2 linked regions of the Diceros bicornis minor genome follow. The protein of the gene in region 1 interacts with the protein of each later gene in a pairwise test. Links are inferred from orthologs where the notes say so. Each region holds a gene or a part of one and is shown in the gene's direction. Other genes may lie near its edges. The genes, in order: BNIPL and GFER.

The links.
Region 2: the proteins of BNIPL (region 1) and GFER interact in a two-hybrid assay, tested with the Homo sapiens proteins (2 studies listed by BioGRID and IntAct). The link is inferred for Diceros bicornis minor from reciprocal best matches to the Homo sapiens genes BNIPL and GFER.

What each region holds. Positions count from the first base shown.
Region 1 is NC_080743.1:55,357,627-55,369,342, forward strand, and holds the start of BNIPL (bcl-2/adenovirus E1B 19 kDa-interacting protein 2-like protein), read left to right. Parts: upstream 1-7,150; 5' UTR 7,151-7,265; intron 7,266-7,355; exon of another isoform or gene 7,356-7,472; 5' UTR 7,473-7,537; intron 7,538-7,757; 5' UTR 7,758-7,795; coding exon 7,796-7,982; intron 7,983-10,533; coding exon 10,534-10,716; intron 10,717-10,906; coding exon 10,907-11,009; intron 11,010-11,172; coding exon 11,173-11,304; intron 11,305-11,716. Other genes in the region: exopolyphosphatase PRUNE1, read left to right, coding at 1,435-1,593, 3,692-4,120. UniProt on the Homo sapiens protein: May be a bridge molecule between BCL2 and ARHGAP1/CDC42 in promoting cell death.
Region 2 is NC_080765.1:46,421,926-46,433,723, reverse strand, and holds GFER (FAD-linked sulfhydryl oxidase ALR), read left to right. Parts: upstream 1-7,143; 5' UTR 7,144-7,268; coding exon 7,269-7,526; intron 7,527-7,878; coding exon 7,879-8,075; intron 8,076-8,963; coding exon 8,964-9,126; 3' UTR 9,127-9,778; downstream 9,779-11,798. Other genes in the region: TBL3 (transducin beta-like protein 3), read left to right, coding at 1-42, 114-172, 448-551, 648-719, 807-965, 1,051-1,160; NOXO1 (NADPH oxidase organizer 1), read right to left, coding at 1,538-2,004, 2,317-2,427, 2,522-2,703, 2,857-3,034, 3,154-3,229, 3,404-3,484, 3,579-3,644.

The sequences.
Region 1 (11,716 bases):
CACCCCTACAAACCGTTCTCCCCACAGCAGCCAGAGTGATCTCTTTAAGACGTAAATCAGATCATATCAGCCCCTGCCCTCACTGCCTTTTCATTGCACTTCTGATAAAATCTAAAGGCCTCACTGTGGTTTACAGGGCCCTCCTTGACCTGGTGCTTGTCTTCTCTCTGACCTCATCTCATTCCAGCCCTGCTCCTGCACTCACGATACTGCAACCACGCTGGTTTTCTTTCTGTTCCTGGAACCATTAAGCTTATTCCCACTCAGGGCTTTTGTTCTTGCTTTTCCCTTTGCAGAGCTGGCTCCTTCTTATCATTCAGGTCTGAGCTCAGATGTCTCTCTTTAAGAGGTTTGTCCTGACCACCTTAACTGAAGTAATATCCTCCATGCTAAAAATCTTTAGCAATTATCTTATTTTCTTTTCTTCATGGTACTTAACACACTGAAATAATGTTTCATGATTTCCTTGTTTATTATCTATATTCCTCTGCTAGTTTATCAGCTCCACCAGAGCAGGGACCCTATTTTGTTTCTGCTATATCTCCAGCACCTTTGACAGTCCTGGCGCATAGTGGATGCTCAATAATAATAATTGTGTTTTAATACCTAATTCTATATCATACTGGTTTAAATCATTCGACATGATTTGAACACGTAACTCTCATAGTCTGCACAGCTTTCTACTAAATACTATGTAAAAATACTAAATAATTAAAGAAAATAGTATGGCCTCTTCCCTTGTGACTCACAAGCTAGTTTGGGAAACAAACATAAGAACATAAAAGGCTTGCCAAGTATCATAATCACGGTACAAATTGACACAATAGAAATGCCAAGGATAGAGAAAAGCCCTGATCTGAAACAGCTAGTGGTATTATTCGTTGGAGGAAATACTGCATGAGATTTTGGAGAAGAGTATAGATTGGCAAAGAATGAAGAGCCAAGGATGCAGTTGTCACGTCTGTTGTTATTTATATGCCCCATTGTTCTGTTTTAGAATAAAAATACCCACAAGGCAAAGACCCTGCCTGTTTGATTGCGAGAGCAAGAGAGCCTTATACATGCCATACACATTACATACATTATCATTTTTTAATTCTTAAAACCATCATGTTTGGTAAATATTTTATCCCCATTTTACAGATGAGGAAACTTAGGTCCGGGGAGCTTAATATAACTCTTTGATCATAGAGCCGATAGGTAATAGAGCTGATTTTCAAGCCAGCTCTGCTTGAACCCAAAGCCTGTATTCTCCCCATTCTACATACTGGCTCCCAGCACCTAGAAAGCACAGAATAAATATTAGATATGTTTTTTGTGGAGTGCAAGTCCCAGGTTAACATGCAAAGAAACCCTTCATAAGCATTTTTTTGTTGATGGTGACAAGGAGGGTCCAGCTGTAGCCCTCATCCCTGTCCATTTCTTCTCTTTCAGGCCTTTCTGCAGAGGTCTGGCCTCACTGCAGATCTGCATGCCTTCTGCCAGGCTCACAGCTATGATGTCCTGGTCGCCATGGCTATCTTTTTCAACACTCACAATGAGCCAGTGCGGCAGTTGGCTGTTTTCTGTCCCCATGCAGTGCTCCGAATGACGGTGAGTCTCTGTCCCTCCTCCAACCTTAGGGCCATGCAGAGCTCAGCCTGTACACGCTGCCCTGTGCTGTAAACACCTCTCCTTGGTTCTTATCTTTACACAGAGATCCCTTGACCTATTTCGAGAATCTTCCCTCCCCGCTTTTTTCCATTCTCTATGTGAATATCCTTAATCATACTGTTGTTGAGAAAAGGAGATGCCAAAGACCATTAGAAATACAATTCCTGCTTAGAAGGAACTTGAACTCCGGTTAAAAGGAAATGTTATAAATCTGGAGTTTTTAACCAATTCTTGGTTTAATTATTAATTCCTCATCCCTGAAAATCAATTCCTATCTTCTACCCTGTTGCCTTGAAAGTTGGAAACAACAAGAGAAACCTTTTCTACTACTAATCATGCAGGGACTAATTACTCGGTATAGTGCTAACTCTGTCAAGAAGTGATCCAGGAGCAGGTTTGTTTTCTTTTCTGATCATCCATTTGGCCACCTTTCCTACCCCCTCCCCTTTCTTTTCCTCTGTTGGTTACTAATTAGCCCAGGAAAGAATTTAAATGTGGACTTAAGGCATTCCAGGGACTCTTTGGGTTGCATAGGCTATGTGAAGACTGCTGAAGACTGGTCTGAATAAAGCCAGATAATCCTTTGTGCCCCTAAAATGTTTGTCCGCCCTTTCCCACCTCTCTTTGCCTTTATCTTCTCCAGGAAGCAAATGTAACTCCATTCAGTGGAAGGTAGTTTGCCATTGTGGGAAGAACTACAGTTTTTGTTTTTGTTTTTTCTGAGGAAGATTTGCCCTGAGCTAACATCTGTTGCCAGTCTTCCTCTTTATTTTTTTATTTATTTATTTTTTAATGTGAGCCTCTGCCACAGCATGGACTCTAACACATGAGTGGCGTGGTTCCAAGTTGGGGAACCAAACCTGGGCTACTGAAGCGGAGCGCACCAACCTTTAACCACTAGGCCATCGGGGCTGGCCCAAGAACTACAGTTTTTAAAGGCAGATAAACATGCTTTTCTGTCCCAGATTTGCCACTTACTAGCGCTTTGAGCTAAGGCAAGTCAGTTGACTTCTGAGTCTGTAAATGGTGTAATATTACCTACTAATTAGTCTGATATGATCATTAAACACAATATCATATGTAAAGTACATTGCTGGGCACAAAATAAGCACTCAGTAAATGGTGCCTCTTACTAATCATGTCATGAAGGAGAGGGTGCTTCGGCTATAAGAAGGGCCTCTCCCCACCTTCCGAAATCTCCCCACCTTCTCCCTGCACAGCCCCTGTGTGCTGCTCCTCAGAAGCTGTGCAGATATCTGATGACTCTACCATTGCCCAGGCTGCCTCTGTGCTGGGAAATGAGAGTCCTCTTCATGGTCTGCCCTACCATTTCCTCTCTTCCTTCTATGTTAGGAATAGTATAATAGAGTGATTTAGAACAACCGGCTTTGGTGAGAGACATGGATTCAAGTGTCACCTTTGCTTCATTCAAACTATGACCTTAGGCAAGTTACCTAATCTATCTAAGCCTCAGTTTCCCGACCTGTAAATGAGGGTAATAGTAATACCAATCCTATAAGGTAGTTGTGAGGATTAAATGAGATAATATTTGTAAATGACCAGACTTGGCACCATGCCTGGCATACCTCCCAGCCCCAGTTTGATGTAGGCATGCTTTCTGCCTCTATCCTTCCCCTGACCTCAGTATAGATGCTTGTCCCATCCCAGCTAAGGATAGAGTTCAAGTTTTTGAGCACAGGAATACACTTGGAAACAACACTAGGTTAGGAGCTGGGGGTCTTGGGTTCTGGTTCAGACTCTACCATCACCTACATGATTTTGCTCAAAACACTTAATCTCTCTGAGCTTTGGTTTACTTATTAACAAAATGAAATATATGATCTCAAGTGTTTCTTCTGTTTCTGAAATACTATGTATATTAGCTGATGTGCCTTTTATTGCAAGCAATAAAACTGAACTCTGCATGACTTAATGAAAAAAAAAATTTCTCTTCTATAAGAGAAGCCTCTAACTTAGAAGTCTTAGTTCTTTGCTTCACCACCTTACACACCATTTCCCCGTCTTGTCTCCTCCTTAGATCTGTGGAGCCCTGGAACGTTCCCACTCTCCATCCCTGAAGCTGACCCCTGTCCCAAGCACCCACCCTAACCTCCAAGCCTATCTTCAAGGCAACACCCAGGTCTCTCGAAAGAAACTTCTGCCTCTGCTCCAGGAAGCCCTGTCAGAGTATTTTGACTCCATGAAGATCCCTTCAGGGCAGCCTGAGACAGTTGGTTTGTCCAGGGAGCAAGTGGACAAGGAATTGGACAGGGCAGGTAACTCACTGATGCCTGGACTGAGTCAAGATGAGGAGGAGCCTCCACTGCCCCCCACACCCATGAACAGCTTGGTGGATGAGTGCCCTCTGGATCAGGGGCTGCCTAAACTCTCAGCTGAGGCCATCTTTGAGAAGTGCAGTCAGATCTCGCTGTCACGCTCTACTGCTGCCTCCCTGTCCAAGAAGTGACTGTTGGGAGGGAAGGGGATAGTGAGAGAGGTTGCTTGAACCACCTCGAATGCATGTTTTGAGATGTTTCAGCAGTTCTGTCTTTATTGCTCCAGGATCTGGTGTACTGTTCTCATAAACCTGGGAGGAGAGAGAACTGGAAGAAAGCAGCTGCTTTAGGAATGGCTTTCTGCCTTGTCCCCCTAATCTCTACCAATCAGACAAATTTTATTGTTTAATTTAAATTTTTAAATCTACATTGACTCTCTTCTGTTTCATTTGCCAAGGGCACAATGTAATACATACACAGTTCCAGCAGAGCAGCACAAAAAGAATGTGTACACCAAAAGTGCCCTCAGTAAGGCTCTTTACCAGAACAAATATCTCTCATGGAACCAAACGTTCATATATTGAATCCATGTCTCCATGTATTCATTTATTGTCTTAGTAATTCAAGTATTTATTGAAACCCTACTTTAAGCTAGATAGAAAATAGAGTGTGCTTCAGAAACTTATTCCAGTTTTTAGGCTGTAGCAGATTTCCAGCTCCATAACTCCTCTTTCTGCCCCCAGTTTGGTGATGGTGTCTGATTCTGAGATGGCTAAATTTCTATTCTGAGCTTATTGTGACTCTCAGGATTGTTTAGAAGCAGATTGGAGGCCATTATCTTCTGTCCTGATCAGGTTTTCAGTTTCTTTGGATCTCTCTGTCCCAGAGCCACAGGGACCCTGAAGAAACCCAGAAGACCCCTGGTTCTTGAGAGTTCAGGAGACACCCAGGAAGGCCTTAAGACCTCATAGGCACTCTTCACAAAAGACAGCAAAACTGCATTGAGAGCCCTGGCTCTGTCCCCTGCCTGGGTGGATCAGTCAATTTCTTGTCCATCTCATTCTCTTCTTGCTCATAGTAATAAAGGAAGCATGAAGTTCTAATACTGACGGCCATGAACTATGTGTCTTTTGACAAGATACTTCATTTCTCTAGGTCTCATTTTTCCCATCTATAAAACTAAGGATCTGGACGAGATGTTCTCTGGTATTCTGTGATCTGCCTCTTGCTGCCATTGTTTCTCTCCTCTGCTTTTCTGTATTTTTTTTTTTCTGTTTTCCCTGGGAATTTTCAGGGTCACTGGATTGTCTGTATTTATATGTGATTGTACCAAGAGACTCAGCCTCATGTAGCATGTACAGAGGTATGATTCATACATAGTGACCCAGCAAAGAGCTCCCTCCCACTGACTTGTTCTGCATGTGTAGAGTCTCCCTTTTTTCTTCAGACCAAACTGTTCCCCCTTTTCCTACCCCACAGCTCTATTCCATGTAAGTTGCCAATGGTTTCACTGAACAGTAGGGTCTGTGATAGTTTTGGCATGATGTCTTTAGTGTGTGGGGGACAGTCTGACTTTACTTTGAGGGTATGATGTGTGTAGCCATTGGAAGGTAAAAATAGTGGTGTGATTACTGAACCAAAGGAATTTATGTTTTGTAACTTGGGTACTTTATTTTGTATTTTGTTAAAGTATTAAATACTTTTTTTCCTGTTTGGGGTTTTATTATTGCCTCTTTTTACAACTATAATCAAGGCTTTCCCTCTGATAATTGTTTCAGCCTCCTCAAGATTCATCTCCCTTCTTCCTCCTGTACATAATGTCTTCCTTCTGTTGACCCTTTGTGGGAATAATGAGCAACAGTCTTCTATCTCCCGTCATCCTCAGCCTTTCCTTTAACTTGTTTCTTCTTCTAGAACCCTCCTTATAACATACTTCTGTGTCCCTGATTTTGCTTATGCTCAAAAAGTAGGCCCAAAATAGTCTTAAAACCAAAATGAATTTTACCTTTGTGGTTTTTTTTTTTTTTTTTTTTTAAGAGCAGCTTTCAGGTTATAAGATGAGTCTGGAAAGGAGAACAAATTGCCTTCCTAGACTCCCCTAAAACTAGTCACTTTAGAAAATATACTTTCTTCCCCAAAACCCTCCCACACATAGGCAGGATTTTTCTTTTGGGCAAACCTACTCCTTGGGAATGGAGGTGGCAAAACCTGTTTGAAGGTGAAGTTACCTCCCTTCTACCCCTCCCTCCTCCTTGGAGGCAAGAGCAACAACAGCTGAGACAGAGAAAAGGGTACAGAAGTGTTGGGGAGCTGGGGTAATCAGCTTCCTGACAATTCCAAGTGTTTAAAGAGGGAAACAGGAAGACTGGTGAAGATGGGAACTATACAAGAAACAGGAGAAAAGACACTAGATCTTGGGTAAGTGAGATCTCGGCTACCTTGATTGGAAGCGAGGAGTGAATAGTCTTGAAGGACTTTCCCACTATCCAGCTCTCACAGGTCAAATCTCAGGTTGCTAGAGGAGACAAGACTGTAAACGAGTTAATTTGCAGAGAAGGGATGGGGTTGGCTTTGGGTAGGAAACGTCAGTATGGTATGGGAGCTGGGGAACAGGATTACAGATAATTCCCTATTTCTTTTTAAAGGAAGTTTCTATATATTATGTCTGATAAATCTGCCCCTGTTCTCTGTCTCACCCTCCATAATGACCATCGGGAAAGCTGACCCAGAACTAAATTTAGGTCCAGGTTCTTCTTCCCAGCAAATCTCTCTTCTTCCTTACCTTCCTCCCCCACCCTTCTACCTATGCCATGGTTTCCCCTAACCACTCCCCAGCGTGACGGAGGAAAGGCAGGCCTGACTAGGTGCCATCTTCCCCAGCTTTGCCCAGTGACAGCTGGGCAGGTCTGTCAGGTTCCAACCAATTGTAATGTGGAATACCTCTTACCCCTACTGTGTAGGTGGAGCAACTGCCGTAGAAGTAAATATGATTAGCTTTACATTCCATCCTTCCTCTGCTCCTAAACCCAGCAGTTGGGGTAATCTGTTTCCAGCAAGTGTAAATGTGGTAGAAACATCTATCTAGGAAACAAGAGACTTGAGTTCTTTTGAAGGCCTGCCCTCTGCTCTGTACCTTAGTTACTGTTCTTCATTCCAGTGTCTCCAACCTACTCTCCAGTTCCCTTAAGACACTGCCTATTTTGTCTCATGGTAATCTTTTCTTCCGGGGGTCTATCATAGGGTCAGGGAGAACGCAGAAGCAGCAGGACTAGGAGCATCCCCAAGACTTGGGGAACTGGAGCTGAAGGAGGAATGGCAGGATGAAGAATTCCCTAGGTAAGGAAGTGTGAGGGAGGTTGGGAGAAGGGGGGGGATGGTCACAAATGGAGGGCAGGGATGGTAAATTAGGACTTGAAGGAAAGAGGTGGCAAAAAGAAAGCGGAGATGATAAAATTATGGTGGGGAGAGAAAATTAATAAAGTGATACCTGGCTTGATGACTTTAGCCTATATTTCTGCCCCCTTTTAATCTTTTCCCCTCTAGATTGCTTCTTGAAGAGGTTGACCCTTCTGAAGATCCTGAAGATGCTAAAAGAGACTTGCAGGCAGGTAGGTAAATTAGAACCTAGGCCTCAAGTTCTTGATTCTAGTCCAGTGAAGGGTTATGCCACCCTTATCCCTTTAGGTTCTACTTCCCTTTTCCCAAATGTCCCCTGTGTTAGTCCTTCTTTAGAATTCACGCCATATTATCACTTCCATTTACAGGCATTCTGACCTCCCCTCACCAACACACATCTTTCTTTTCTTCTCTTCCCTCCTCCAACCCCAGGCACCCCCAGCACTTTAGCCTTGTGTGGCCGGCGCTGCATGCGCAAACGTCTTTCTGCCCCAGAGCTGAGACTGAATCTGGCTAAGAGGCCTGGAGATAATGGAGCTTCTCCCACCCACTCTGTACCTTCCTCTACTGATGGCAGTTCTGACCTGGAGGTAGACGAATTGGAGACACCTTCAGACTCGGAGCAGCTGGACAGTGGACATGAATTTGAATGGGAAGGTAGGAAAGAAACCTGAGGACTGAACTGGTAGAAGTAGAGGCCAGTGTTAAAGAAGCTCAGGATGGATTTAATGGGACTGAAGTTAGAACTAATAAGGTGGAGACCAAGAGGTAAGGTCAGCAAAATTAATTTCTTCAGAATGGAAAGGTAGAACTACAGATCCAATGTGAGAGTAGTCGGCGGGGGGAGAGTGTCCTTTGTTTATTAAGGATAATTTTATTGAATGACTGTTACATGTTATCACTGAGCTAGAACTGAGTTATAAAGATGAATAAGATAGTTCCTACCCTCAGGGAATTCTCTGTTTAGTAAGAAATAAACATATCTACAAATAAGTGCAGTTAAATATTATGATCTACATGTGTGTAGAGTACAGTGTAGGCAGGGAGAAGGAAGAGGTCAGTTCTGCCCGAGGAGCTAGGAAAAACTTCGCAGAAGAGGTGATTCTGAGCTGATGTTTATCAGGTAGTTGGAGAGACATTCTAGGTGGAAGAAGCAACTTGAGCAATAGCATGGCATGTTGGGGAATTTAAAGCATTTAGCATGACTATTTAGATATTAAGGAAAACTTTGTTTCTTCTCTACTTACAACACTTCTGACACCAAATGTGTGGGTTTTCCCCACACCAACCAATTCTCCAACTCTCCAGACACCAACTGGGTGTCCTACAATTCAATTATGACATTTAACTGGAGTTAGTGCAGACCCCACAGGTTAAGAGCTCACCTACAGGACTGCCCCCAGACTTCAGACACCACTCACATGTCCAGGTTCTGGACATCACCTATGCTTCTGACCAACTGGCTACAAATCAGAGATTCCCACTACCCCCTCCTCAGGTTTGATAATTTGCTAGAATGGCTCACAGAACTCAGGAAAACAGTTTACTTACTAGATTACAGGTTTATTATAAGAGGATACAACTCAGGAACAGCCAGAAGGAAGAGATGCATAGGACAAAGTATGTGGGAAGGGATGTGGAGCTTCCATGCCCTCTGGGGGTGCACCACCCACCCGGCACCTCCATGTGTTCACCGGAAGTTCTCAGAACACCTTCAGTTCAGGTTTTTTATGGAGGCTTCATACATAGGCATGGTTGATTAAATCACCGACCATTAGTGATTATCACAACCGCTAGTTTCTCTCCCCTCCCCAGAGGTCAGAGGGTGGAAGTTCCAACTCTTTAATCACATGGTTGGTTCCTCTGTCAACCAGCCACCTATCCTTAGGGGCTTTCCAAAGTCACCTCATTAACAGAAACTCAAGTCGTTGCAAGGGGCTTTTTATAAATAACAAAAGATACTCCTTTCACCTTTATTATCAAGAGCTGTTTCAGGAACCAGGGACAAAGCCAAAATATATATTTATTATTATATCACAGATATGTAGGGCTGGGAGGTGAAGGGAGAATGACAAAAGGTAGTGCTATGTTAAGTAGGCAAGGGTCAAATCCTGGAGATCCTTGCTACCATGCTAAGGAGTTTAGATTTTGTCCTGTAGGCAATGGGGAGTCATTGAATGGTTTTGATCAAGGGAGTAAAATGATTAAATTTAATGGCTCTGAAAAGATTGGAAACAACCTAAAAGTCCATAGTAGGGTATTAATTCTATTATGGTGCATCCGACAATGGAATACTAAATACTAGGCAACTATTTTTTAAGATGAGGCAGCTCTTTCTATTGCTGTGGAAAGATCATGCAGAATTAGTGGGTATGGTGTATTGCCATTTGAGTAAAAAAGGTAGAGGAGAAAAGAAAGCTTACTCTAGCAGTGGTGTAGAGGGTGGAATGGAGGAAAACAGACTAGAGGTGGGGAGACCAGTTAGGAGGCTGGTACTAAGGCCAGGTGAGAAATGCTAAGAACCTGAACCAGGACAGTAGTTGTGGAAAGAATGATAAAAGAATATAATGGAGGTAGATGGCAGGGGATCTCGGGTCCAGTTGGCTTCAGGGCTGATAGAAAAGAAAGAATCTCAGATGACATACAGTATTCTCTCTCAGGCAGCTAGATGGATGGGGTTGTTCATCAAGAAAGGAAATATGGGAGAGAGGAGGAAGAGAATAAGTCTGAGTTGCACTTTGGGTCTGGTAACTCAGAGATGACAGAGAGACACAAAATAGAGATGTCCACTCTAGGCAGTTAGGGATATAGGTCTGGAGTTAGGAGAGAAGTCTGGGTTAGAGAGGCAAATTGGCATCCTCACCTACCTGCTGGTAATTGAAGACATGGGATTAGATGAACTAACCCAAGGAAAAGCATGGAAGAAGGAAATAAAGAATCCAGAAAAAGCTGATACTCGCAACGGCCATCAACATGCCATAGGGCAAGGTTACCTCAGGGCTATTGTCTAGTGGAAAGGTGAGGGTAATGAGTTGCAGGAAAGAAACTAGCAAGGGGTTGGGTTGATTGGACAAACTAGAACTAGAGTCACGGAAAAAAATTGAAGAAGGAGAGGTTGGAGTAAGAAACTCTAGGAATCTGGAGAAGTTACAAGATACTCAAGGTATATATTCTGCCTTGTTGATCCTTCCCCATCCCTCTCTTTTAGATGAGCTGCCCCAGGCAGAGGGTCTGGGGGCCAGTGAGGCAGCTGAAAGGCTGGGCCGGGGTTGTATGTGGGACGTGGCTGGAGAAGATGGTCATCACTGGAGGGTGTTCCGAACAGGACAGCAGGAGCAGCGAGTGGACATGACTGTCATTGAGCCCTATAAAAAAGTCCTATCTCATGGAGGTAATGGATAGCATAAGTGGAGGATGTAAGAACTGTGACTTCTTGAATAATTGCCTAAGCTGGAAACTCAGTTATTGGGTTCAAAATCCTTCCTGTAACTTCCAGAGACCCTCAGAGTCCCTCAACCTAAATGCACTATCTGTCAATAAATATTTGTTGACTGAATGAATTTTCCCCTTATCTTCCCCAGGTTACCATGGTGATGGCCTCAATGCTGTCATCCTCTTTGCCTCCTGTTATCTACCCAGAAGCAGCATCCCCAACTATACCTATGTCATGGAACACTTGTTTAGGTGAGGTGGAAGGCCTGAAGGGCTTCAGGGTGGATGTTAGGGAGGGAAAAGGAAAAAAAAAACCCTTCCATGATCAGTAGCTGATTGTAGAGTTTATAGTAATGTCTCTCTCAATCCCCACAACCCCAAACACATACTTTCCCTGACAATTTCGTCCCCCCAGGTATATGGTAGGAACTCTGGAGCTGCTGGTAGCTGAAAATTATCTGCTTGTTCACTTGAGCGGAGGCACAAGCAGGGCCCAGGTTCCACCTCTGAGCTGGATACGCCAGTGTTACCGCACTCTGGATCGGCGGTGAGCCTCTGGGACGAGAGGGCTACAACTCTCTATCTTTTCTTTTTCTTTTCCATCTTTCCATCCTTTCTTCATCCATTTAGTCCCTTCCTCTTTTCTTTGTCCCTCTACACCCCTTTCCAAGCCTGTTCTGTCTTCTGTCCTCTCTTGGAGTCAGGGAAATCTACTGTCAAATCTTGCCTTCACCACTTACTAGCTGTATGACTTTGGACAAGTCACTTAACCTTCCTGGGACTCAGTTTCCTTATCTGTGAAATGGCAGTGATAATACCTTAGCCCCCGGGTATTTGTGAAAATCAATGTGGCATACTGCCTGGCACATAGAAGGCACCCCTGCCTATCTCACAGTCTTGCCATTTATTTCACTTTCCACATCTCCATTGTCTTCTTTTCTTCTCTGCCTTCATCCCTG
Region 2 (11,798 bases), on another chromosome or scaffold:
GCCCTCACTGGTGCCAGTGACTCCTGTGTCATTCTCTGGAAGGTGTGTGGGCTTGGAGAGTGGAGCAGGTAGGGCAGTGTTGGGGTGCCAGTCTGACTCCAGTCTGACACTAGGATGTGACCGAGGTGGAGCAGGCAGAGGAGCAGGCCAAGCAGGAGGAGCAGGTGGTCAGGTAAGTCTGGGGGTCCCCACCCAGCCCCTCTGTGAATGTCATCCATGTCTCTGACACATTCCGTGTGTTAGCATGACCCCCCCGCTCCCAGGGTAGTGTGTATCAGCATCACCCCTGCTTTATGGCATGGGGAAACTGAGGCTCGGAGCGGTGACACAGCTCACCACCAGTGGGTGTTCAGGCCTGGGCTGCTGGCTCCTGAGCCAGCCTCCTGATGGCTCTTCTTCAGCCCCAGCCAGGTACCCCAGTAGCCTGTCCTCTCTCCTTCCCACCAGGCAGCAAGAACTGGACAACCTGCTCCAGGAGAAGCGATACCTGCGGGCGCTGGGCCTCGCCATCTCCTTAGACCGGCCGCACACTGTGCTGACTGTTATCCAGGGTCAGTGCTGCCTCAGGGGCCAGACAGACGGTGGGGGGGTGTCTCAGGGGTCCGTCATGCCCCTTCCCTGGGGCTCAGTCTTCCCTCCTCCAACAGCCATCCGGAGGGACCCTGAGGCCTGCGAGAAGCTGGAAGCCACAGTGTTCCAACTGCGGCGAGACCAAAAAGGTCTGGGCAGGCAGGCGGGGGCTGGAAGGTGACTAGCAAGGGTGCAGTGGCCTGCAGGACAGGTTTGACCATCCTTGTCACCTGCAGAGGCCTTGCTGCGTTTCTGTGTCACATGGAACACCAACTCAAGGCACTGCCATGAAGCCCAGGCTGTGCTGGGCGTGCTGCTGAGGCACGAGGCCCCAGAAGAGCTGCTGGCTTACGAGGGTGTGCGGGCCTCCCTTGAGGCCCTGCTGCCCTACACCGGTACGTGGGCACAGCCCTGGGTGGGGGCAGGGAGCAGCCCAGCCAGACTCCGTGGACCCCGTGACAGCCCGCTGTCCTCCCCCAGAGCGACACTTTCAGCGGCTCAGCCGGACGCTGCAGGCAGCCACCTTCTTGGACTTCCTCTGGCACAACATGAAGCTGCCCACCCTCCCTGCTGCCCCCTCTGCCCTCTGAAACATGCAGAAAGCTGTACTTTTCTACCCCAGCTCCCTTTCTTTGTCTGGGCTTTGTCCTACCCCAGGTCTAGGGCACAGCCTTGGCCACTCTGAGGGTGGGCCACCAGCCAGCCCCATCCCTGTGCCCTGGCCTGGCCACCATCCAACAGGCCCTGCCCTTCAGCACAGACACGGGGTGTGGGTCAATCAGAAGAGCTTTACTCAGAGGAAATAGCCTCCTGGCCCTGCCAGCCAGGGAGTCCCACCCTCAAATGCTCCTCCGCAGCCCTGAGGGTGGTATGGCTGCCATCAGTCATCCTGGGGGTCTGGAGCCTCTTTCCTGCAGCTCCAGCTGTGGGGTGCACAGTGCAGCCCTCTCTGCAATTCCACACACCTTCAAAGGGGTCCCTGACCCCTTAGGTCCCGCTCCAGTGCCCTACGGGTGATGGTGCAGCAGTGGCTCTGTATGGCACTCAGTAGGGGTCGGGCGGGCACCGTAGGGGGAAGGGTCGTGGCCTGGAAAAGCTCAGGGGAGCTTTGGGCCTCCCCCACGCTGTCCTCCCCACTGTCAGCCCCACAGTGGAGCCCTGGGCGGCTCAGGAGTGCACCCAGCCTGTCGGGCCGAAGCAGCACAGCGGGGAGAAGACCGGTGCGACCATGGAAGCTGCGGGAAAGGCAGGAGTTGGTTAGCACATGCCTGGTTGCGGTTAGCCTGGGCCCCAGCCAAAGCCCCACGCCCGCACACCTGCACAGCCACCAGCCGCGGTCTGACGTTTTCAGCACACGCACGCGCGCCCCCGCGGGCACTGACAGCTCATCAGCCTGTCTGCTCTCGTAGGCGCAGGAAGCACAGAACTGGGACCCTGGGAGTGGGTGCTTGGGGGTCACCACAGGGCCGCAGAGGCCGTGACCCCCACTTCTCAGTCCCCTAATCATCTCCCGGTGAGTCACCACCCCCAGGCTCTCCCCTGGATCTCTGAGGACACACCGGACCACTCAAACCCACTGGGGCTTCTGCTTGCTGTGGGGACCAAGCACACACTGTGGGGCTGCTGCCACCACCTAGTTGTCCCACCACCTCACTCCCCTGGCTCCGGTGCTTCCTGTGGCCCACCCAGCCCTGCGCATACTTCCCAGTGGTGGTGGTGGTGTGAGGAGGAGGGTTAGTCTCATACCACTACTCCCTAGAGGCTGGCCCCCCTCTCGCCCCTGGCGCGGGGCCACCTCCAGGTAAGGAGCAGGAAACCATGCTGTCTGCTGGTCTTCATTCGCCACCAGCCACCAGCCTGTGTGCAAGAGGTGGGCGAGGATTCAGATCTGGAGGCCCGCTGGGAACCCAGGGGCAGAAGGGCGAGTTCCTGGACCTCTGCCTGGCCCCACCTGAGGGGTGGCGCAGCAGCACGTCCAGAGCCTCCTGGGCCTGCGCGTAGAAGGGCTGATCCCTTGTGTCCTGGGTGCGGAAAGGCTGCAGGCAGCGCAGGGTCTGAGCTTCCAGGCTGCGGATGGCGAGGCTGCTCGTGGGGCGGGGTAGGGGCTCTTCGGGGGTGGGCAGGATCACTAGGCTGGGAAGGACGGCGGGCGCAGGTGAGAGGTGGGTGGGTGGGTGGGGATTGGCCCGCCCCTTCCTAGCCTTCGCTCCTGGGTAGACCCTCCGCCATGCATCCCCAGTCCTCCAAATGCTTCCGCGGGCAGGGAGTTGGGAGAGGGTCAGACACCTGCCAGGCGGCAGCGCGGGATCCAGGTCTGTGGGTTGCGGCGCGAAGAAGGCAGTGAGCGCTGGGCTGCGGGACACACGCTCCGCCGCCGCCAGCAGCGTCTGCAAATAGTTCTCCAGCAGCCGCAGGCGCGCGAGGCCGCGGGCCGTGCGCCTGCCGCGCGCCAACAGCGATGCGTCTGCGGGCGCAACAGGGACAGACCATGGGACCCGGCCCCAGGGCTCCCCCAACCAGGCCGCGGCCGCTGCCGCTGCCGCTGCCGCTCCCGCTCCCTCCCGGGATTCCTGCCGGCCTGACCCGGAAGCTTGGGGAGAACGCGGTCGGATCTCCGCAGCAGGCCCGCCTCCACCGGGAAGGTTTCCTTGAGGGTCTTCTGAGGGCGAGAAGAGGCGTATCAGTCTCCAAGAGCCCAGCGGGTTCCCTTGGGAGGGCGGGGGTCCCTTGCCGGGATCGTAAGGGCTGGGAGCCCGAGAAGGCAGGCACTCAGGTGGGGGTCATTGGTGGGTCATACACTAGGAGGCCGGTTTGGGGAACTAGGGTCACTCACATGAAGCATCCTGAACTCGTCCCAGCTCCTGCGCACGAAGGTGTCGCTGTCATCCGACCAGCGCACAGAGAAGGCGAACGTCTGTTGGAGGAAAGGTTGCGGGCGTCTCCAAGGGGCTGGGCCGAGAACTCTCTCCCTCCCCATTGGAGCCGGCGGGGACCCCGTCGGGTTGTACCTGGAACCGCTCTGTCTGCACCAAGGCCGCAGCGCGCACGGACACGGGGTGCCGGGGGCCTGCCATCGCTGTGGCCTCTTGAGTCCCGGTCGCCAGCTTCTTGAGCCCGCTGCCTCCCTACCCTCTCAGAGGAGGGGGATCCCCCGCACCCGGAAGACTGGTTGGAATTCCCCAGCAACGCCCTAGACCTGCCAGGTCCTTGCAGTGCTGCCCTGCTCCTCGGTTCTTCGCAGCTTCCTCGCTGTGCCCAAAGCCAAAGATCTGGGTGGAGGGGCAGGAGCACAGGGCGCGGGGGGTGCCCAAGGCAGAGCTGGTGAGAGGGGGAGGGAAGAGGTGGTGGAGGTGCCAGGACTGCTGCCTGAGGCCCTCTTTCCCGTCCGCCAAGGAGGAGGAGGAGAAGGAAGAGCCATCAAAGGGCCCCCAGGCCTGGCCCACCCCTCCCGCCTGTCCACGCCCCATGCAGTGCTGGGGCTGCTGAGAGCCTGTGGGCAGGGGATGCCTCCGCTGGCTCTGTCTTTGAACCCACCTGGGGAGCTGACTGCAGTTGTCATCAGGAAACAATGGCCCAGTGCTAAGGGCTTTAAGTGCCTTATTTGGCTTAATCCTCACGTTGGAGGAAAGGTCTCTTAGTGTCCTCAAGTCAGAGAGGAGGAAATTTGTGTTAAATGGATAATTAATGTCAGTTTTTCTGTCTGTGTTGGGGAGGGTCGGACCTCACAGGCTCACCTCAGAGGTTCCCCTGTGGTGCAGACAAGGCAGGAGGAAGAGGGTCCATCTCTGCAGTCACCCACACTTGGGGGTTGGGGGAGGTGGTGACTAGGACTGTTGAGAGCTGCCTCTAATTCATGATTTATCACAATTACCTGCAAACACTGCCTCTGAGATCAGGAGTGACCATTCCCTCACTAACTGGGGTGGTGAGGGGAATATCCTGGAATCCCCAAAGAGGGCATGCCCAGGTGCCTCACCTCTCTGGACTGCTTCCTTATAGGGGTGATTTCCAGAGCCCCAGCCAACCCTGGCGCACAGTGGTTCTTCCTGCTGTTGGGGCCACCAGCTTTGTGTTGGGATTCCCCCTACTCCAAGTCCTCCAGGGAGGGGTCAGACTCTAGGGCATCCCTCCAGGAAACCACTCTGGCCTTGACAGAGGGCCTTTGTTTGTCTGTCTGACCAGTGACTCTCTCTGAACCTGTAAACCTTCCCTGGTCTTGGCCTAGGCAATGAACACCTGCTGACACAGGCCTGATTCGCAGAGTGCCTCTTGCCTGGCTGTCACACTCTCCTGAACTTCAGAGGAGCCACGCTGAGGGCCTGAGGGCTCTGCTGGCCTGGCAGGATCCAGGGTGGAACAGACTCTGCTCCCCTGGAAGACAGAGGAGAGAAGGTGGGGAAGAGCCAGTTTGCTCACAGCCAGGGACCTAGAAGGACTCTGAGGTCCCCTCCCTCCCTCAATGGGCAGACCCTGCTCCACACCCTCAGCAATCCTTGGTCCTTCCCACTCTTACCCTCTCCATATTCCCTACCCTCATCTCTCACCTGAACAACTACAACAGCCCCCTCCCCCAATGCCTGCGCTCCTCACTTGGTCCCATGAAATCCACTCTCCAGAGGAATCTGCAAAAGAGATTTTGCAGGTTGGTGTAGCCCTGCCCAAAACTGTCCAGCATCTTCCTACTGTCCTTAGAATAAATTCCTAGCTCCCATGGTAGCCTATGAGGTCCTTGGTGGGCCTCTGGCCACCTCTGGACCTCCCCTCCCACCACCCTCCTCAGGTCCTGCCCCACTGGCCTTTCTGCCCATGCAAGAGGCCAAGGCCCTCCCACCTCCAGCTTCAGCCTTGACTGCCCTCCTCAGTTGATTCCTCATTCTCAGGGAAGCCTCCCCAATTCACCATGCCCTATTCATGGCCCTCATCACAGTATGTAAGTGAACATTTACTATGGTGACTCCTATTTTTGTTTTTGTTTTTTCTGTCTTGACTGGACTATTGTAGAGAAGAGATTTCCTCTACCCTCTGGGTGCTTCTGGCTGGAGTATGAATTAAATTGACATGAGACAGAATAACAGGAGAAAATTAAACAAAGCTTTATAACACGTATACATGGTAGAGACCCAGGAAAAACTGGGTAACTCCACAAAATGGTGGAGGCTCTCATCTTAAATACCATCTTCAGCTAAAGACAAAGGAAGATGTTGGGGGCAGTGGTTTGGGACTTCAAAGGGGAGGAAAACAATTCACATGGAACTGGAAAAGCAAATGTTTGGTAAACAGAACTTTGATAAGAATGGATTTAGCAAGGACCCTCCCAGTCTACTGATATCTAGAGTTATCTATGGTGATGGCCTGTCCTGGGGACAGGCCTTCTATCTTAAATTTCTTTTAGACAGTTGGGGGCCGGGCTGGGGGGGTGGGGGTCAGTTATGGGAGATTACCAGAAAAGCACAGTAAACAAGAGTAAGGTTATTATGCAGATTTAAGTCCTTGCCTTCTGCATGAATGAGTTGCTAGAGATAAGGTCATCCCCTCTTCTTCCTGATACAAAGAGGGAGATACCTTTACAGATGGAGATTTCCCTTACAAATGTAAATGTCTCCTACAAAGGGTAAATTCTACTTTTCAGAGTTTCTCCCATGTCTGCAGTTTTTTAAAGTAATAATGCTCATCAGCCCAAAATAACCCTCACGCCAAAGAGACACATTTTGGGGTGGCCAACTCTAATCCCCCACACTATGAACTGAGCAGGTCAGGGACAGATCTTGTGCCCCGCCCTGCCCAGCGCCTGTAACAGTGCTTGGAACAGATTAGGCATTACACAAATATTTGCGGAATGAATGAATGTACATATGGAAGCAAAGGTATACCTGAGGACACTCCCGACGTGGGTGTAACCCCTTTATGCAGGTTAATGATCCGGGGCCGCTCGGTGCCCCCGGCAGCCGAGACACGCGCAGAGTTCTCAGCCGGCACCGCCCCTCCCAGCGTTGCCAGGCGCTCGTTGCCATGGCGCCGGTCGCCAGGGCAGATCCGTGGGACCCGGGTCCTAGAGCGCGGTCCTCTGTGCGCTCAGGGCCCTGCCCGCGTTGCCATGGCACCGCGCGGCCTGCCGCTGGGCGCGCCCCCAGCTGAGGGCACAAAGCCTGGCTGCGGGCACGCGGACGGGTCAGAGCGGAGTGATGGGGCCGTCGCGGGCTGCAACACGGACGGCGCCTGGGCCGCCGTCCGAGTCCTCGGCGCAGCCGCGGCGCGGCTTCCACCACACGCTGATCTTCTACTGGAGAAAGCGGGAGCGCCGCCACGGACGACGCAAGCCGGGCTCGGGCCGCGGAACGAGGCCCAGGGGCGCGGCCAAGAGCCGGGCCTCTGGCCCCGCCTCCGCCCCGGCCCGGGCCACCGGCCCCGCCTCCACCCTGGCCCGGGCTTGCGGTGCGTCCTTGGCCCGAACCCCGGCCTCCAGCTCCGCCTCCTCTCGGGCGCGGGCCGCAGCTCCCGGCCCCGCCTCCACGCCGGCCCCCGCCCCGGCTCCGGCTCCGGCTCCGGGCCCCGCCCCCGCGCCCAACTCGGCCCAAGCCCCCGCGCCTGCGCCCAGCTCCTGTGGCCGCGCCCTGGCGGCGGCGCGCGCGCTGGCCTGGAGGCCGACTTGGAGGCCCTTCTGGAGACCGAGCTGGCCCGGCAGGCATTGCGCGGGCAACATGGCGGCGCCCGGGGAGGGGAGGCGCTTCTACGGCGGGAACCTCTTCTCTTTCTTGCCTGGCGGCGCGCGCTCCGAGGTGATGGACGACCTAGTGACGGACGCGCGCGGCCGGGGCGCGGGGCGGAGAGATGCCGCCGCCTCAGCCCCGACGCCAGCCCAGGCGCCGACCGATTCTCAGGTCGCCGAGGACACCTCCCAGAGGCGGCCCTGCCGGGCTTGCGTAGACTTCAAGACCTGGATGCGGACGCAGCAGAAGGTTCAGATGCCCGGGGGTGCCACCTCCCGCAGAGGCCCGCGAGCTCTGCCGACCCCTAGCCCCGGCCCCCACACCTTGTTCTCAGGCGCCCTGGGCAGACCTCCCAAGGCCCAGGCCGAGCGGTCCCACAGGCCCCATGCCTGCAGACTTATGCTTACCAGGGTTGCCTGTCACTAAGTCCTAACCCCAAGGTGGGCCTGGCCTTTCAGCTTTCAGCCACACGTGGGCCAGATCGGCTGCAGGATTTCTGTCTCGAGTCAATAGGTTTCCGGCTAGGGTGGGAAAAAGAGGAGCTTTGTGGGCTTCTGGTCGGGGGAGACTGAACTGACCTTTGGTCGGTCTCCTTCCGCAGCAGGACAGCAAGTTTAGAGAAGATTGTCCTCAGGATCGTGAGGAACTGGGTCGCCATAGCTGGGCTGTCCTTCACACCCTGGCCGCCTACTACCCGGACCTGCCCACCCCAGAACAGCAGCAAGACATGGCCCAGTTCATACATTTATTTTCTAAATTTTACCCGTGTGAGGAGTGTGCAGAAGACATAAGGAAGAGGTAAGTTACGTCTGCATCATTTGCAGGCAGGAGAGCATGCCACCTGGAGCCTGGGTCCCCTGGCTGATGTCATAAAGGGGAACCTAGAGAAATAGGTGCAGAGGTGGCAGAGGGCTTCGGACAGCGGGGACCACCAACAGAGTGGGGATTGGATCATCTGAGCCATCTCCTTTCCCTGTAGAGGCCAAGCAGCCTGGGTCTACTGCCGGGTGCTTTTGCAGCCACAGGGCTCCCGGGGAGGGCTTCCCCCATGAGACCCCTTGCTTAGCACTGATGGAGGCTCCTGCAGGTTAAGGATGACTTCACTTTGCCTGACTTCTGGAGCAGGACTGCTGGTTTCAAGACCTTGAGAATCCACAGCTTTTGCTTCCAAGAGCCACCTTTTTCTCGCTGGGGAGCCTAAGAGCCGCTGTTTGGCACCCTTAGGTGTTTCTGGGCTGGATGTGTGGGGCAGGGCTGCCCTTGCCTTTTGAAGCCTGAGCAATTAGAATGAGGTCTCTTACTGAGCTGAGGTTCCAGAGCCCCAGGTGCTAAGAAACAGGTGTGGTTTTCAGTTATGCCTTTGTGCTGGCTCTACCCCTTCCATACACTGCCCAGGGCAAAGGACACTGGGGTGAGGCTTCCTAATGGTTCTGAGGTTGTAAAGTTGCCTGGTCTGTGCCTTAATGACTTGCCCTGGGCTCTTGTCAGGGTTGCCAAGCTCCCCAGGTGGGTGTCACAGGGTCCGCCCTGTTTGGGGAATTCCTGTCCCTCAGCACAAGGGCACTTCTGGGTGTAGCTCACTGCAGCGCTCCTGCTCGCCTCCCTGGGTGGAGCAGGCAAGGAGCTAGTGGGGCAGGGGCAGGGGGCCCGCTGCCTCCCCCATCCTCCATTGCTCCCCCCATGCAGGATACACAGGAACCAGCCAGATACACGCACGCGCGCATGCTTCACCCAGTGGCTGTGCCGCCTGCACAACGAGGTGAACCGCAAGCTAGGCAAGCCAGACTTCGACTGCTCGCAAGTAGATGAGCGCTGGCGTGATGGCTGGAAGGACGGCTCCTGCGACTAGACGGCAGCCAGCAGGAGTCCATGGGGCAGCCAGCCAGGGCCTGTGGGCAGCCCGGCTGGAGAGGGGAAAGGCACTCATTAAAGTGTGTCAGAGCCAGAGCCTGTCGTGTCTCAGTTAGGTGGTCCCCAGACACTGCCCACAGGGCCCTTTCCCTCCCACATTTGCAGTAGGAGTGGAAGTGTCTGCGCAGGTACCCTGATGGCCGCCGCCTCAGCTGAGGCCCAGTGGGGCTGCAGGTGAAGGAGGCAGGAGCAGCCCAGACTGTCCCTTCCATTCAGGATGTGGCCTCCTGCTCACTCCACACCCTGGCGCCCACTTTCCCACAGGACGGCGACAGGTCTGGCTGGGCTGCCCTGCCAGGCCTGGCCATTGTCTCCCCTCCCATGTAGCTGGGGACAGCTGCAGTGACTGTAGCCCCAGAGACTGTGCGAGCTCTGCACTTCAGGAAAGAGGGCTGGGGGAGAGCTCTCTACGCTGCTCAGTCTACAGGGAAAGCACAGGCAGGGCTCTTCTCCGAGGGTCCACCGACCCTGTTGCCTGCCTCCCATCTAGCACGTTGCCTTCGCTAGCTGCACCAGGCCTGTCAGAGGCTTCATGGGGCCAGCTTCCTTGAAGCTTGAGACCAAAATAAAGTGCTGGAGAAGTGACTGAGGACCTGGCTTCAGTGTGTTTTGTGCTGGGACTTGCAGCGATGGACAGGGTCTGCCCTCGTCCTCTGTGGTCAGCTGCTTCCTCCTGTCTGGGTTCTGGCTCCTTAGGAGGAAAGAGAGGTCCCACGGCAAGAGTGGACCAGGATATTCCAGGAACAGCAAGGAGGCCAAGTTGCTGGAGCCGAGGGAGGGTCAGAGAGGTGAGGGAGGTCAGATGGCACGAGGTCTTCAAGGCCCCAGCAAGGATGTGGTTTTAACATCCAGCTTCAGTCACAAGAAGGTCTTGGAGGACTTGGAGCCAAGGAAAGGTGAGATGTGACTTGAAAGTTCTCTCTGGCTGCTGAGCTGGGATGAGGCAGGCACCCCTGCGGCAGCTAAGAGGGAAGCTCGCCCTGTCGGATGGAGAAGACAGTGGATAGACTCTGAATGTAGAACCAAGAGAAAGGAGCCAAAGGTCACTTCAGGGTTCCAGCCTGAGAAGCTGGAAGGGTGGAGCTGTTCTGTGTAGCAGGGAGATGGAGAAGGCTGTAAGTGGAGCAGGTTTGGGGGTGACCTAGACCCTGCTTTGGGGCCTGCCCGGATCCACTCAGCCACACCTGCTCCCAGGCCTTGGCTCCCAGCTGGAGTGGCCCAGCAAGTGTGCCCCGTCCCTGTGGTCATAAAGCTCTGGTCACCTATATCCCCACGGCGCCTCCGCCTCTCCCTAGGCACAGGCCAGCCTTTGGCCTGGCCTCCTCAGCTCCTTCACCCAACTGGCCCCACAGGGGTGCTGGCTTCTGCAGGGGCTTCCCAGAGGGGCTGGGTGACACAAATAGGTGGGGAGCAGTCAGCACAGAAGTCACTCCTTCCTCTCCCAGATGGACTGTCCCCAGCACAGGGCTTCTCCCTGGCCTTCCCTGTGGTTCGCTCAGGAACATACTGCCCGTATTTGTCCTCCCTCCTGCCCCGCCTCATTTCCCTTTTCCCCCAACTCGGGCTTCCCCGAAGTTTCACCCCCAATAAAACTCTTAACTTTGCCACAGACTTTGCCAGGGCATCCACGCTAAGACAAGTGGGGCTCTAGTTCAAGGGAATGTTCTGGCTCGAGCTGTCAGCACGTAGACCAAGGGAGTGAGCATAGAGGGAGGAGAAGAGCCCCTAGACCACGCCCTGGGGCCACTACAGCTTCAAGGTCACAGGTGGAACAAGAGGAAGGAATCAGAACAGGGTGACAAGAAAGGGCCCATGAAGTAGGAGGAACTCGAGGAGAGGGTGACATCAGAAGCATTTCCAGAAAGGTGGGGAGGGCAGTGTCTGAACTGCCCCTGGACTAAGGGGAGCAGTGACTTGGGACAGCTGGAGGGGAAGTGGGGTCAAGAGTGGAGGTTTGTTTTTAAGAGAAGAAAGCGTAGCATGTTGGGGTGCTAACGCAAATGATCAAGTAAAAGGATGATGCACGAGACAGAGGGCCAACTGTCGCTGACAGGTGAGAGGTGACGGGATTGGACCCACAGTGTGAGGGACTTGACGCAAGACTGGTGGGCAGCACCTCTGGCCACACCTCCCCTGGGATGGGTTCTGTCAGGCATCACCGTTTGTCCACGTGGATGGCACGGCAGGGACCTGAGTTTGAATCCCAGCTCTTTCTGTGATCCAAGAACTCAACCAGCCTGCCTATTTACCATCTGAACAATGGGGTAATAACAGTCCCTACCTCCACAGGTCCTTGTGACCCGCTGGGCACTGTCAACGCCCAAAAAATGTAGACTTTTCGTATCAATGCTCTAGGCAGAAACACAGGAGTCATCCAGGCACCTGCCAGGCTGGCCTGGAAGGAACATGATGGAAGGGACCCTGTCTGACGGGGGGCTGGGGGATGTGTGGAAGAGACCCAGCAGGGGCCAGGAGCTGCTGAGACCCAGCAGGGGCCAGGAGCTGCTAGGCCCCAGCTTAACCAAACTCCCATCTCTGATGCTTCTTCCCACCCTTCGGCCCCAAACTGAATATGTCAGCCACAAGTCAGTCCGGGAGACCCAGGAGTGT